Saccharomyces cerevisiae S288C: one gene and its partners. Changing the gene in region 2 together with the main gene of any one other region gives a genetic interaction. Each region holds a gene or a part of one and is shown on either strand. Other genes may lie near its edges.

Region 1 (2,376 bases), on a different chromosome or scaffold from region 2:
TCCGATCGCTGTAGGGCTTGGCGTCAGTAGCACCCAGATATTTCACTGTAGGAGCTTACTTCACTCATTTCAATTGGTATACAGAAATCTATGAAATGTAGTTAAAGGCATCACTAATCCGCATCCGCGATACCCGCAACATATACGGAATGTCTATGTAAAAATGTCTCCTGTGACTTTCATTAATCGAATCTTTCTATAAAAAAAAAAATGAGCAAATCACAGTACACCCACTACTCGCATCATCAACGTTGAGTCAGTAGCAAAGTCTCCAGTTATGGTGCCCTCTGGTCCAATTGTAGTAAATTCGTTTGCACGGATGAAAAATAGCTCATGAATGTTCTTGTGTATTTGAATACCATTATGTGCGCGGCTCATACGGATTTAAGTGTGATCTTCCCCTCCGTATTCCCTGTCAATAACTCAAAGTTTTCCCATTTCGGTTTGAAGTTCTTCACAAGGGAGTTTCTTGGCGCAAAGGCATGATGATCGCATTTGCCTCAGTATATTTCGTCATTTCGGTACTGAGAAACGAAATTATTTTGCCTGTTGTCTTGCGTTTTGGCAACCCTTAAGAATTCATCTAATATGTTGGTCCTTAAAGATAAGCGCTTTTGCTTGTAAAATTCTGATTTTTTGTCTTGTGATGGTAATGCTACATTGAACATCAATGCGTATCTGATTTTAAAAAAAAAATTAGAAGTGTGTATAAAATGAAGGTATTATCAGTTGAGCAAATATTACATGTGCTCTTCAAAAGTACCTGCTTTTCATTTAGTGACTATCAGGATGATAACGCCGCTCGTCTTATTTTTAACTGTCGTTTTCTGATAAATGTGTTGAAAACGTGCTAAACAACAATTACCTGTTCTCAAGAGCCTTGAGCCTGGATTGAGAGCAAAAAATCTCTCTTTCATTTTATACAGAATTCGGAAAGAAGATGGATATTTCATGAAAATCTGTTGGTAAAAAGTGGATAAAAATTTTGTATTATTAGTATGTTCTTAGTGGTTAGGTGATAACGAAGCGAGAAAAGCAGGGCAAATGGAATAGAATAGCGTGTAGTTGTTAAAATTTTATTTCACTGAGGCTTATATGCTTACTGAGAAATTTTTTTTTTTTACAAAAAACTTCTTTTTATGTTATACCAGCTGTGGATTACCACAACAATTGGAAAGAACATCAATCCAGAAAAAAAATTCAGTTAATTTGGAGGAAGAGAAATTTAAGTCATGGAACAAGAGTGGGAGACAGTTAAAAAATGCTTCCAAAGATTAGTAGATTGAAAAAGTTTGTGAAAGTCGATCAATTGTCTTCATTGCAGCTAGACATAAATTATGTTTCAGGTCAAAACAATTAAATATATACTTGTGATAGGTAAAATAGTGAGGAAATAAATAAGGTAATTGATTACCAACTTTGGTATTCTTCAAAGTATTCGATTGCCTTTGCAGGCTTCTCTAGAACAAGATTTGCCGTTTGATCCCTTACTTCGTCAACGAAAACAGGAGGCCCACAACAAACCACAGCTAACGATCCATTTAGGTCACCAACTTCATGCAGAAGCTTTTCAACATTGGGTCTTCCATGATGAAAAACAGTACCATCAAATTCAACTGGATTAGGTGACTGTTCTAGGGTAGTTGCCATAACAACACCTTTTCCATCGGCCTTCTCGTCTTGTTGAGAAATTTCCAAACTATCATTAGGAGTTAATGCCGGAACTTCCATTGTATTGTAGATGTGAAGCTGTACATTAAGATCTTCTAGACACATCAGCTCCGGCTTGTAAGCCTCGAGTACGTTAAACCCTCTAACTGCAATCACTAATTTTATGAATTGTTTTCCAGTTGCCGCTGACGTTTTTCCAAGTTTAATGGCGTGTGCAATGGGCCCTGGCAAACCAGTACCTCCCGTAAGTAGCAAGACGTTATCATAATTATTGACTGGAGATGAAGAGCCATATGGACCTTCTATAGCTAGTCTCATAGATGCCTTACCTCCATTGCAACACACATACTTTTTGACAAGTTTTGTTACTCCCTTTTTTTCCTTCAGGATAATAGTCAGCTCACCATCTTTGATAATTGAATCTAAGACTGTGAAAGGATGTGACTGCCAAAAATACAGGTGGTGTAGGAATGAAACGAAAACATACTGTCCTGGTTTGGCTTTCCATAGCCTTACTGGTCGTTTGACTGTGACTCGAATGATGTCATCGCCAACTAACTGTAAGGAAGCCTTAGGGAAACCGAAATAAGATACTCTAACAATTCGAATTAGCCTATCAATAGTCCAGATAGCAATAGCAGCGTATATCCACTCAATCCCACTCAATTCTACGACGTGCTCCCAACACGTATAAAAGAACAATGC
Region 2 (6,569 bases):
AGTGGCTCTTGAGCCCTGATTTCCTTTAGATCGTTCTTGCTTTCGTTGCCAGTAATTGACGATGCGGAAGGATGTGTTATTGCATGGGAAAGCTCGTTTGTTTCCAGGTTCTTCCATATATTCTTGCTTTTTTGTTTGTCAAACTTGCTGAATGAAGCAACTCCTGACTTCTCCTGTTCTTGTTGCAGTGTACTTAGCCGTTCTTTTACTATCAAAGAAGTTTTGTCTGAGTTAGCGTCTGATTTTGACTCTTTCTTCTTCTTTTTCGTCTTATTTTTGGGTTTCGTGGGCCCATAAGTCTCTGATAAATACTGATGCAATGCCATGTAATAAACGTCCTGTTGTTATCTTCCACCATTCGAGTCTTGAGAACAACTTTCAAAATCAAGTCAAATAGCCATTTTCTTTATGCCATTTTCTAAGCGCGTTCTACAAAAAAAAAGCTTTTAAGCTTTAATACCTTTTTTGTTTACGTTTGCAAACATTGTTATCGTTCACATACCTGCATTTCCATCCATGCTGTAAGCCATTAGGTGTTTGTATGTGAGATGGTGACTGGTGAAGAAAATGTGTATCTAAAGTCAAGCTTATCCATTCTCAAGGAGCTCAGTCTCGATGAACTACTAAATGTGCAGTATGACGTGACTACCTTAATCGCGAAACGTGTTCAAGCACTGCAAAATCGGAATAAATGTGTTCTCGAAGAACCTAACAGTAAACTGGCTGAAATTCTATGTCACGAAAAAAATGCTCCTCAACAATCCTCTCAGACGTCTGCGGGGCCAGGTGAGCAAGATTCTGAAGATTTCATCCTTACTCAGTTTGATGAGGACATAAAGAAAGAATCAGCAGAGGTTCACTATCGTAATGAAAATAAACACACTGTGCAGTTACCGCTGGTTACTATGCCACCTAATAGGCATAAACGGAAAATTTCGGAGTTTAGTTCGCCTTTAAATGGCCTCAACAACTTAAGCGATTTGGAAGATTGCTCTGATACTGTAATCCACGAAAAAGATAATGATAAAGAGAACAAAACAAGAAAACTATTGGGAATAGAGCTCGAGAACCCTGAATCTACATCGCCAAATTTATACAAAAATGTTAAGGATAATTTCCTGTTTGACTTCAATACGAACCCTTTAACAAAGCGAGCCTGGATTCTCGAAGACTTTAGACCAAATGAAGATATCGCCCCGGTTAAGAGAGGAAGAAGAAAATTGGAGCGATTTTATGCCCAAGTTGGAAAGCCAGAGGATTCTAAACACAGATCATTGTCAGTAGTTATAGAATCGCAAAATTCGGACTACGAATTTGCGTTTGATAACTTGAGGAATAGATCAAAATCCCCCCCAGGTTTTGGAAGACTGGATTTTCCCTCCACTCAGGAAGGGAACGAGGACAAAAAGAAATCCCAGGAAATCATCAGAAGAAAGACAAAATATAGGTTTTTAATGGCAAGCAATAACAAGATCCCACCGTACGAGAGAGAATATGTATTCAAAAGAGAACAATTAAATCAAATTGTTGACGATGGATGTTTCTTCTGGAGTGATAAATTATTGCAGATATATGCTAGATGTTAAACGCCAGCGATCATCATTCTTTATTCATTACTTCAAATACATTTTTTTTGGTATGGTTGAAAGGGCTTTTTTCCTCGTTGGCATATGGGAAAAACTGAAAAATAAAAAAAGGCAATGAGATGAACAACAATGGAAAACAAAAAAGGGCGAATAAATAAGCAGCAGTTGGTAAAGCAGAAAGGGGAAGTTAACGGACGTTAAACAAATGACACCTAACTTACCAGGGTTTTATTATGATAGAGAACGTCGACGTTATTTTCGCATATCTGAAAATCAAAGCATTTCTACCACGGGAACGACGAACCAGTACAGAAAAGATAATATAAAGCGACAATGTGTTGAGGAAAATTACGATAAAAAATTTTCTATGATTAAAAAAAAACGTCAGCAAACATTACAAAAGTACAAGCTTAGTCTTCTGAATCCGTTGGAAAGGGCTTTTCGCCCTTTATCATATGAAAAGTACATGATTGGTTTAAATATGCAGTATGCATCGCATTCTCTCACTGAAGGTCATCACTCACATAGTTCTGCTAACGTAAAATCACTCAATTTTCCACACAGGATACAGATAGGAGTATTAGCAAATTGTATTTTATTGGTAACTCAAGAAGGATGTTTTCATAGTAAATTAGTATTTGCAACAAACAAGGGCTATGTCGCAGGATTTTCATCCCTGGATAATTTTTCTGAAGAAAATTTCTTTACGGGGTTTTCCATGGCTGAATTAAATCCTATGTTGAAATATAAGTCCGAGCCAACTGATGTGTTCAAAACAATGAAACTTGAGAGAACAGTTGCCATCAAGGAAGGGCCGAGCCATTATTTTTATCACAACGTTAATACCAGATCTAACGTGCATACTTTTGCCATCTTTTTACAAGACTTTTCTTCCTTAAAACTGCTCAAAATTCGTCAGGTCAAACTCAAAGAAAATTGCCAAGTCCATGATTCTCTTGTTGTTGGAGACACGTTGATTATTACCGTAAATTATCGTTGTCATTTTTATGATTTGATTCCAGAAACCTTTCCAAATCCCTATATCTTTTCTCCTGCCAAAAGCTCAAGAAAACACAAAAGTAGGAGTGACATTACTTCCCTATCATTTTGTCTACAAGAAGATGCTTTATCACCTTTAAAAAAAACGAACACCGGTGTGTTTTATTTAGGTTACAGAAATGGTGATTCAATGGCAATAGTCTTCACTAATATTACAAACATGACATTACAGTACTCCAAGACCAACGGTATGACATCAGAAAGTCGAAATCAACCTATCAGAAATTCCCTAAAATCTGTTGTTTCCATAAAAGCATTGAATAATAAAGGCCTAATACTTATATCTGGAATGGCAGACAAAGAGAATGTGCAACAACTGGTTATAGCAGATACGTTCCTGGAGGACATTCTGACCGAAATCCCGGTTGTATCTTTTAAAACTAAGTTCTTAAACGTGACTAAGGATACAGAAATACTCGAGATATCGGATGACGGGCGCTACTTCATTTATGGTTCAACTAGCGCTAGGGACGGAAAGGGTGATTTTGAAGTATTTTGTACCACTTTATCTGGAAATCTTGACTACGAAAAATCCGAAGGTGGAAATATCACCCTCTATCCAATAGGAGGTATGAAGAACTACTGTAGGTTAGAAAACTTCCAGTTTGAATCTATCCACCTACATTCGGCTTTCATACCCCCAAGGTACGTAAATCCGTTTGATGCTGTGGAACCTCTAGGTGAAGAGAGCAGTACTTCACCTTACGATATACCTGAAGAAGCACTTTCTCAAAAAATATGCATCTTAATTCGGAGAGAAGATGATCCCTACAATGGGGCCAATATCTTCATAACATCTGCTTTGACCTAGTTTAGCCCACCGAGATTTTTGCTTTATAAATATTTTAGCATACTTTGCATTCATATACATATTCATATGTATAAATATTCTTTAAATTTTAACGCCGACTTCGAACTAATTAGCAGTCAAAACCCAAATGTAATGACCTTATGGTGTTATAGCATAATTCTTCTTGGTGTACAATTCCATTCTGAATAGTTCAACGATTTTAGATATAGTTAGATATGATATTATAATAAAATATACAAATATGTATCATTGTTAGTACAAGTTAAACCTAAATATAATAAAGCCAACCAAGACAGGAACCAGTAGAAAAATTTATACAAATGACAAAGAAAAACAAACGGTATTTTCCTATTTATTAAAAATGCTTGAGCGAATGGATATTTTAACACATTAGTGTCCTAAAGGACAATTGGATTTGAAAATAAAATGACAGTAATAGACAAAAAGAAAACTGAATGAATGAATGGACGTATGGATTGCTTAATGAATGAATGAATTAAATAATAGTTGGGCGTAAGTTCAGAAGATGAGGAATTTAAAACAAAAATAATCGTTGACAAAAAACGATTCAAAAAAAAATTAGATCATTTTGGTAGGGAGCAATGCTAACCCTGCAAAGGCAGTGGGAGGATTTTGGATACGTGTTCGGAAACAGAATACAAAATATAAAGATGGCAATAGTTTGCTTTACCATTTTTTTCCGGCTCAAATTTTGGGACTTTAGTAGGACGTCATTGCTTAGTTGAATTTTTTATTTTTTATTTTTTATTTTTCTTTTGTCTTTGATTTCTGCGTAAAATATTTGTACAGTAAGAAGGAAAGAAAAAGAAAGAAAAAAAAGTATTATGGCAAAGTGAATTGAAGTTCATCAGATGTTCTAGCGGTATTCATGGCAGGCATATTGGAAATACTAGCGTTGCGGCTCATATTAACTTGATTATATGGGCCTTGACCAATATGCTGCGACTTCATTGACAAACTTGAATCCCAGTTTGCACCTTCCGTTTGATATTGCATACGAGGCACAAAAGATTCATTGAAGTTTTGACTATTTGCATTAGAGTATGGCGAGAAGTGATTAGCATTAATTTTGTCGGTTTCATTCATCATAAATCCAGGCTGCTTAAATCCCCTTGAAACATTAGGATTCACATTGGTAATGTTAGATGATGAGAACGAATGGATTGGTGCAGCAGAATTAGGATGTGCCATTAAATTTGCAAACTGGCGGTTGTCGAAGTTTTGTAACGAGTTATGGCTTACCAATGGTGGGTTAGTTTGAGAATTGAAAGAAGGTGCTCCCATCGAGGGATATGCGTTTTGGTTGAAGTTCATAATTTGTTGCGGAGAGTGAATTTTCTGATCTTGTGCATATTGGTTTGAGAAATTATTGGTTACAGAGCTGTTACTTCTTCTATGGTAAGCATTAGCTGGTAAAGAAAAATGACGGGTATGACTCTTTTGATTATTATTGTTATTATTATTGTGAGCATGGTTATGATTATGATTATGATTATGATTATGACTATTTTTGTTATGGGGGTTCTTATTTTCGTTGTTAATCGTTTGAAGATTGTTATGACTCATTGCAGTGACTTGAGGAGATATGTCAGTGAATGGTATACCTGTGGCTTCTGCATAAGCTTTAACTTTCAACTTAATTTTCTTTGCATAGGATGTAGTTTTAATACTTGGAAGTAATTCTTTTGTAAGGACAATCAAGTTACCAATTTTCAATGAAAAATCGTTACAAAAGTTACCGTAATTCAATGTACTAGAGCTGTTTTGCCCAATTGCGTTACTATTTTTGTTGTAAGCAAGCAGAGGAGAATAATTCTTAACGTCTAATAGCGTTTGTAACGCATAATTACCAAAATTATCCCTGATTAGCACATTTAAATTGACTGTGAATATATCAATGGTAGTCAAAAGAATGTTCATAGAAGCATTAATCACGTCATCAGAAGCAACTGCAGTCCTTTGGGAGGCACCCCCATTGTTATTAACAATAAATCCAGTAATGATTCTAAATAATTTTTTAATGAATTTTTCCACAACATTTGAGGAGAACTTCAAACAAGATAGTTGACATAATTCATTGGATAAACGGTTAAATAACTCAGCCAATAAGTAAAAGTCCAATTCTTTGATATCTAACAGAAATTGGATGATATAATTACCGAACTGATCGTTGATTAATCCAGGAAGGAACTGCACAATTTTCACAGAAATTTTGAAAATTTGTTGTAGAGTACAAACGCTTAGTAATTTTTGTAGTACGCAACAACCATGTTTATGGGTAGAAATGGTAATGATATTATTTTGTTCTACAATAGCATCTATGATGAAACCAAATTTTGATGGCGAGAATTTGAAAATACACTTTTGAATCACATGGTTACCATTAAGATCGTTTATCAAAGTAACCACTTGCTCAATCGAAGTAAATTCTTGGGAAAATCCCTTAATAATGAGATCGATTTGAACTTCGTTATCGACAGTGTCTATAATTTTCTGTAAGGAACGAGTTCCGTACTGATTGATTGATATTTGGAAAACATTTGGATATATTGTTTGTATTAATAATGTCTTTTGCTCGGCAGTTAAATAATCGCATAGTTTTTGAACCAAATAGTTACCGAACGGATCCAAAATAAGGTCCAAGAAAAATGGCTTAATTTGTTCATACATCAAGTCTCTCACCATATTGGATTCACTGGGGGTTTCTAATTTTTTTTGAAGAAAACGGCAGCCAAACTGGTCAGTGGCAAGTTTGATATAATCCAGATCTCTAAGGGGTAGTGCGCTGATTTCGACCATAGATGAAGACGTTGAGCTACTCAAACCAAATGACGAATTATCCACTCCACATTTGGAAGCAGCATTATTACTATTGCTAAAATTTCTGAGAGATGCAGCAGGAGTCACTGAAGAGGATGGTGTTTCCATAATTAAACTGGAGGTATTGACACCAGAGTTCGAAGGAGCAACAACCGTGAAATCGTGGCTTGATTTTCTCCTGGGACCATCCATTTCCAGATCAAACTCATTGATTAATGGTAGAATGGCTGGAGGATTTGCCATTGAGGCTGAAAGCCCAGTGGAGTTGCTAG
Region 3 (3,246 bases), on a different chromosome or scaffold from region 2:
TTTATCATCTATCCGCTTATAATCACGTATGTTTGACCATGCTTTCGCTTGTACTACTTCCGTTTGCCAATTGTTCATAAAGTCGATCTCAATCATTTTGGACCTATCAAAGACCAGTATTTTTTGGAAGTGTGAAAACCATTCTATTCTTTTCCATGACGATAATTCTTCTGGATCAAAAATCGTACCGTGGAGGTTATCTATTAACTGTAGTTTCCTTTTGTTATTATTATTGAAATTCTTTGGTATCCTCCCGATACTCCAGTTACCTTTTATATCAATGATTGCGAATTGTTGTAAGTCCCAAGGATTGAATGCAAAATCTACCACCTGAAGGTCGTCTATTTCAACAAAATACAGTGGTTCTGAACTACTAACCATGACATCACATGATCTTGAGTGGACACTTTCAATTCTAAAGATTTGGAAAGAATTTTCGGTGATTATGCCCACCAGGTTTGATCTCCGCCCGATGGACTCAGAGGCCCCCGGTATCTTAATACTCTTGATAGGTGAATGCAATTCGATACTCGTTACATTGTTATGTCGGTTTAAATGCAATGTATTTTGTCGTGTCAGAACTGCTATATTTAGGACTGAGCCTGTTTTACCCGAGGCATATGCTATGATTTCGGTTCCGTCTCTATAATTTCTTAAATCTGATGCTGTCTGAATATATTGAGAGTCCAGTCGATTAGCCACAGTAGGATCCCAAAAGAAGGCGTCTTGCATCGGCCTCGAAGAGTTAGTACTTTCTTGTAATGTATCATCTAAGTTGCGCAGCAAATCTGAAGGAATGTAATCTTGAAATGAAACTGGCGTATCGCAGTTCACACCAAACATAGAATCATTACCAACGTCAACTTTCTTAAAAAAATGGACATCTTTCGGTACCACGGGTATCACTGGATTGACCACTATAGATGTATCCCCCTGATTGTCCGTATCTTCATCAATATCGCTAGTTATGAGATCATCGTCGGCATCTGATTCTTGCAAAACCTTGTCGTCGGAAATATATCTTATGGCAGTATCACAAAGCAGACTTTTGACCACTATATGAAGGTCTAGTGCATCCTCGGCCAATGTATCATCTACTGGTCTTAGCCATTGTGGCTTTTCTTGCTTCTTCGTAGTGTAATTTTCTTGCGGACAGTAAAGACTGGCGCCTTGTACACCAACACCCAATTGCGAGCCTAACACATCTGAGCTTGGAATTTGTCCCTCACTCATGCTCAGCCCATAGAACGCCTTCTCTCTTTACTTCAACTTGCCACATCAATATCATTACCAAACTAATATGAAAGCTCATCTCGGTTTCTTAATCGAGAGAATAAAAATTATCGTATGCCCACAGGGTAACCCATATTTATATCAAATGGAAGAAGCGTCCATTAAGAAAAAAGCAAAAAAAGCTGTACCTGCTATTATGGAGAGGAGTAAGCGCTTTTCTCATTAACGTAAAAAGAGAGGTAAGAAAAAAAAGGAAGGGGACCTAGGCACCTCATAGTGAGAAGATTGAAAACGGCGTATCAAACAAATGGTTAAAATGAGAAGAATAACACCTACACGCCTCCTATTCACATGCAGATATATTTCAAACAATGCTTCTCCACCAGTGCAGCCCTTGAATGTGCTTTTCTTTGGTAGCGACACTTTCAGTAATTTCTCATTGCAAGCACTCAATGAGTTGCGTCAAAATAATGGAAGCTGTGGTATAGTGGACAATATTCAAGTAGTAACTAGGTCGCCGAAGTGGTGCGGTAGACAGAAGTCTATTTTGAAATACCCGCCGATCTTCGATATGGCAGAGAAGCTTCAATTGCCACGCCCAATTACATGCGACACCAAGCAGGAAATGTTGGCGCTAAGCAAACTGACACCCAGTCGCCAAGGAAATCCGGAGAACGACGGCTCCGGTGCTCCGTTCAACGCGATCATTGCGGTTTCTTTTGGGAAGCTCATTCCGGGTGACTTGATCCGCGCGGTGCCATTGGCGCTAAACGTCCATCCTTCGCTACTTCCCAGACATAAAGGCAGTGCACCTATCCAGCGAGCTCTGCTCGAGGGTGACACTTACACCGGTGTAACTATACAGACACTGCATCCGGATCGGTTTGACCATGGTGCAATTGTAGCGCAGACGGAGCCACTGGCGATCGCAACAATGCTGTCAAAAGGGAGAGTCAATGATTCGACGGCAGATTTTAATTCTGAGGGCCTGCCTCGGAGGACTGCCATACTGATGGACCAGTTGGGCGCCCTTGGCGCCCAACTTTTGGGCCAAACGCTTCGTGAGAGGTTATATCTACCACAGAACCGTGTGCAAGCGCCAACAGCTTACAAACCCAGTTACGCCCACCGTATAACAACAGAAGATAAACGCATTCATTGGGCGCGCGATTCTGCCGCCGAACTACTTAACAAACTCGAAACGCTCGGTCCTCTGCACGCGTTCAAAGAAGCGACAGCGGCAAGAAAGGACGCTCAAAATTCAGTATTAAAACGAATATTGTTTCATGAGTGTAAAGTGATGAGAGACGCACGTCTAGATAATGGCAGTAAACCGGGCATGTTCAAATATGATGATATTAAAGACTGTATTTTGGTCACCTGTCGCGGCAACTTACTACTATGTGTGAGCCGCCTCCAGTTCGAAGGTTTCGCCGTAGAACGTGCTGGCCAGTTCATGGCGCGCCTGCGGAAAAGATGCGGCGCCCTGAGTGAAAAGTTAGTTTTCCTGTAACCCGGCTCTACATTCCTCTTTTAGTATTCTTCTTCTCCCTTCTTTCAATCCCTCATCCATCGGTCTCTCAACAACTATGGCTGCCAAGCCCTACGCGCTATGAAGAAAAAGAAAAGTAGGCCCGCCTTCTTTCCCAGTTGCAGTTTATTTATGATTCGGAAAGATTGATGTTAGTAATGGCTTGTAGTTCATAACAGAGTGAATTAAGTGTAGGAAGCCCGGAATTAAATATATAGTAAAAAGAGCACAGGGGCGTTTACATCGGGGTAAAAAAAAATGCCTGCACCAAAACTCACGGAGAAATTTGCCTCTTCCAAGAGCACACAGAAAACTACGAATTACAGTTCCATCGAGGCCAAAAGCGTCAAGACGTCGGCTGATCAGGCATACATCTACCAAGAGCCTAGCGCTACCAAGAAGATACTTTACTCCATCGCCACATGGCTGTTGTACAACATCTTCCACTGCTTCTTTAGAGAAATCAGAGGCCGGGGCAGTTT

The links.
Region 1: mutations in YGL176C (region 2) and YOR381W-A together harm fitness less than expected from each alone (positive genetic interaction), as found in Saccharomyces cerevisiae (one large-scale study listed by BioGRID).
Region 3: mutations in YGL176C (region 2) and FMT1 together harm fitness more than expected from each alone (negative genetic interaction), as found in Saccharomyces cerevisiae (one large-scale study listed by BioGRID).

The regions. Positions count from the first base shown.
Region 1 is NC_001147.6:1,056,715-1,059,090, reverse strand, and holds YOR381W-A (uncharacterized protein), read right to left. Parts: upstream 669-2,376; coding exon 501-668; downstream 1-500. Other genes in the region: FRE3 (ferric-chelate reductase), read right to left, coding at 1,411-2,376.
Region 2 is NC_001139.9:168,302-174,870, reverse strand, and holds YGL176C (uncharacterized protein), read left to right. Parts: upstream 1-1,791; coding exon 1,792-3,456; downstream 3,457-6,569. Other genes in the region: BUD13 (Bud13p), read right to left, coding at 1-326; ssDNA endodeoxyribonuclease SAE2, read left to right, coding at 549-1,586; MPT5 (Mpt5p), read right to left, coding at 4,300-6,569.
Region 3 is NC_001134.8:200,516-203,761, forward strand, and holds FMT1 (methionyl-tRNA formyltransferase), read left to right. Parts: upstream 1-1,540; coding exon 1,541-2,746; downstream 2,747-3,246. Other genes in the region: RRN6 (Rrn6p), read right to left, coding at 1-1,233; bifunctional glycerol-3-phosphate/glycerone-phosphate O-acyltransferase SCT1, read left to right, coding at 3,023-3,246. UniProt on the Saccharomyces cerevisiae protein: Formylates methionyl-tRNA in mitochondria and the cytoplasm. Responsible for the formylation of the 8 N-terminally formylated (Nt-formylated) mitochondrial matrix proteins that are encoded by mitochondrial DNA.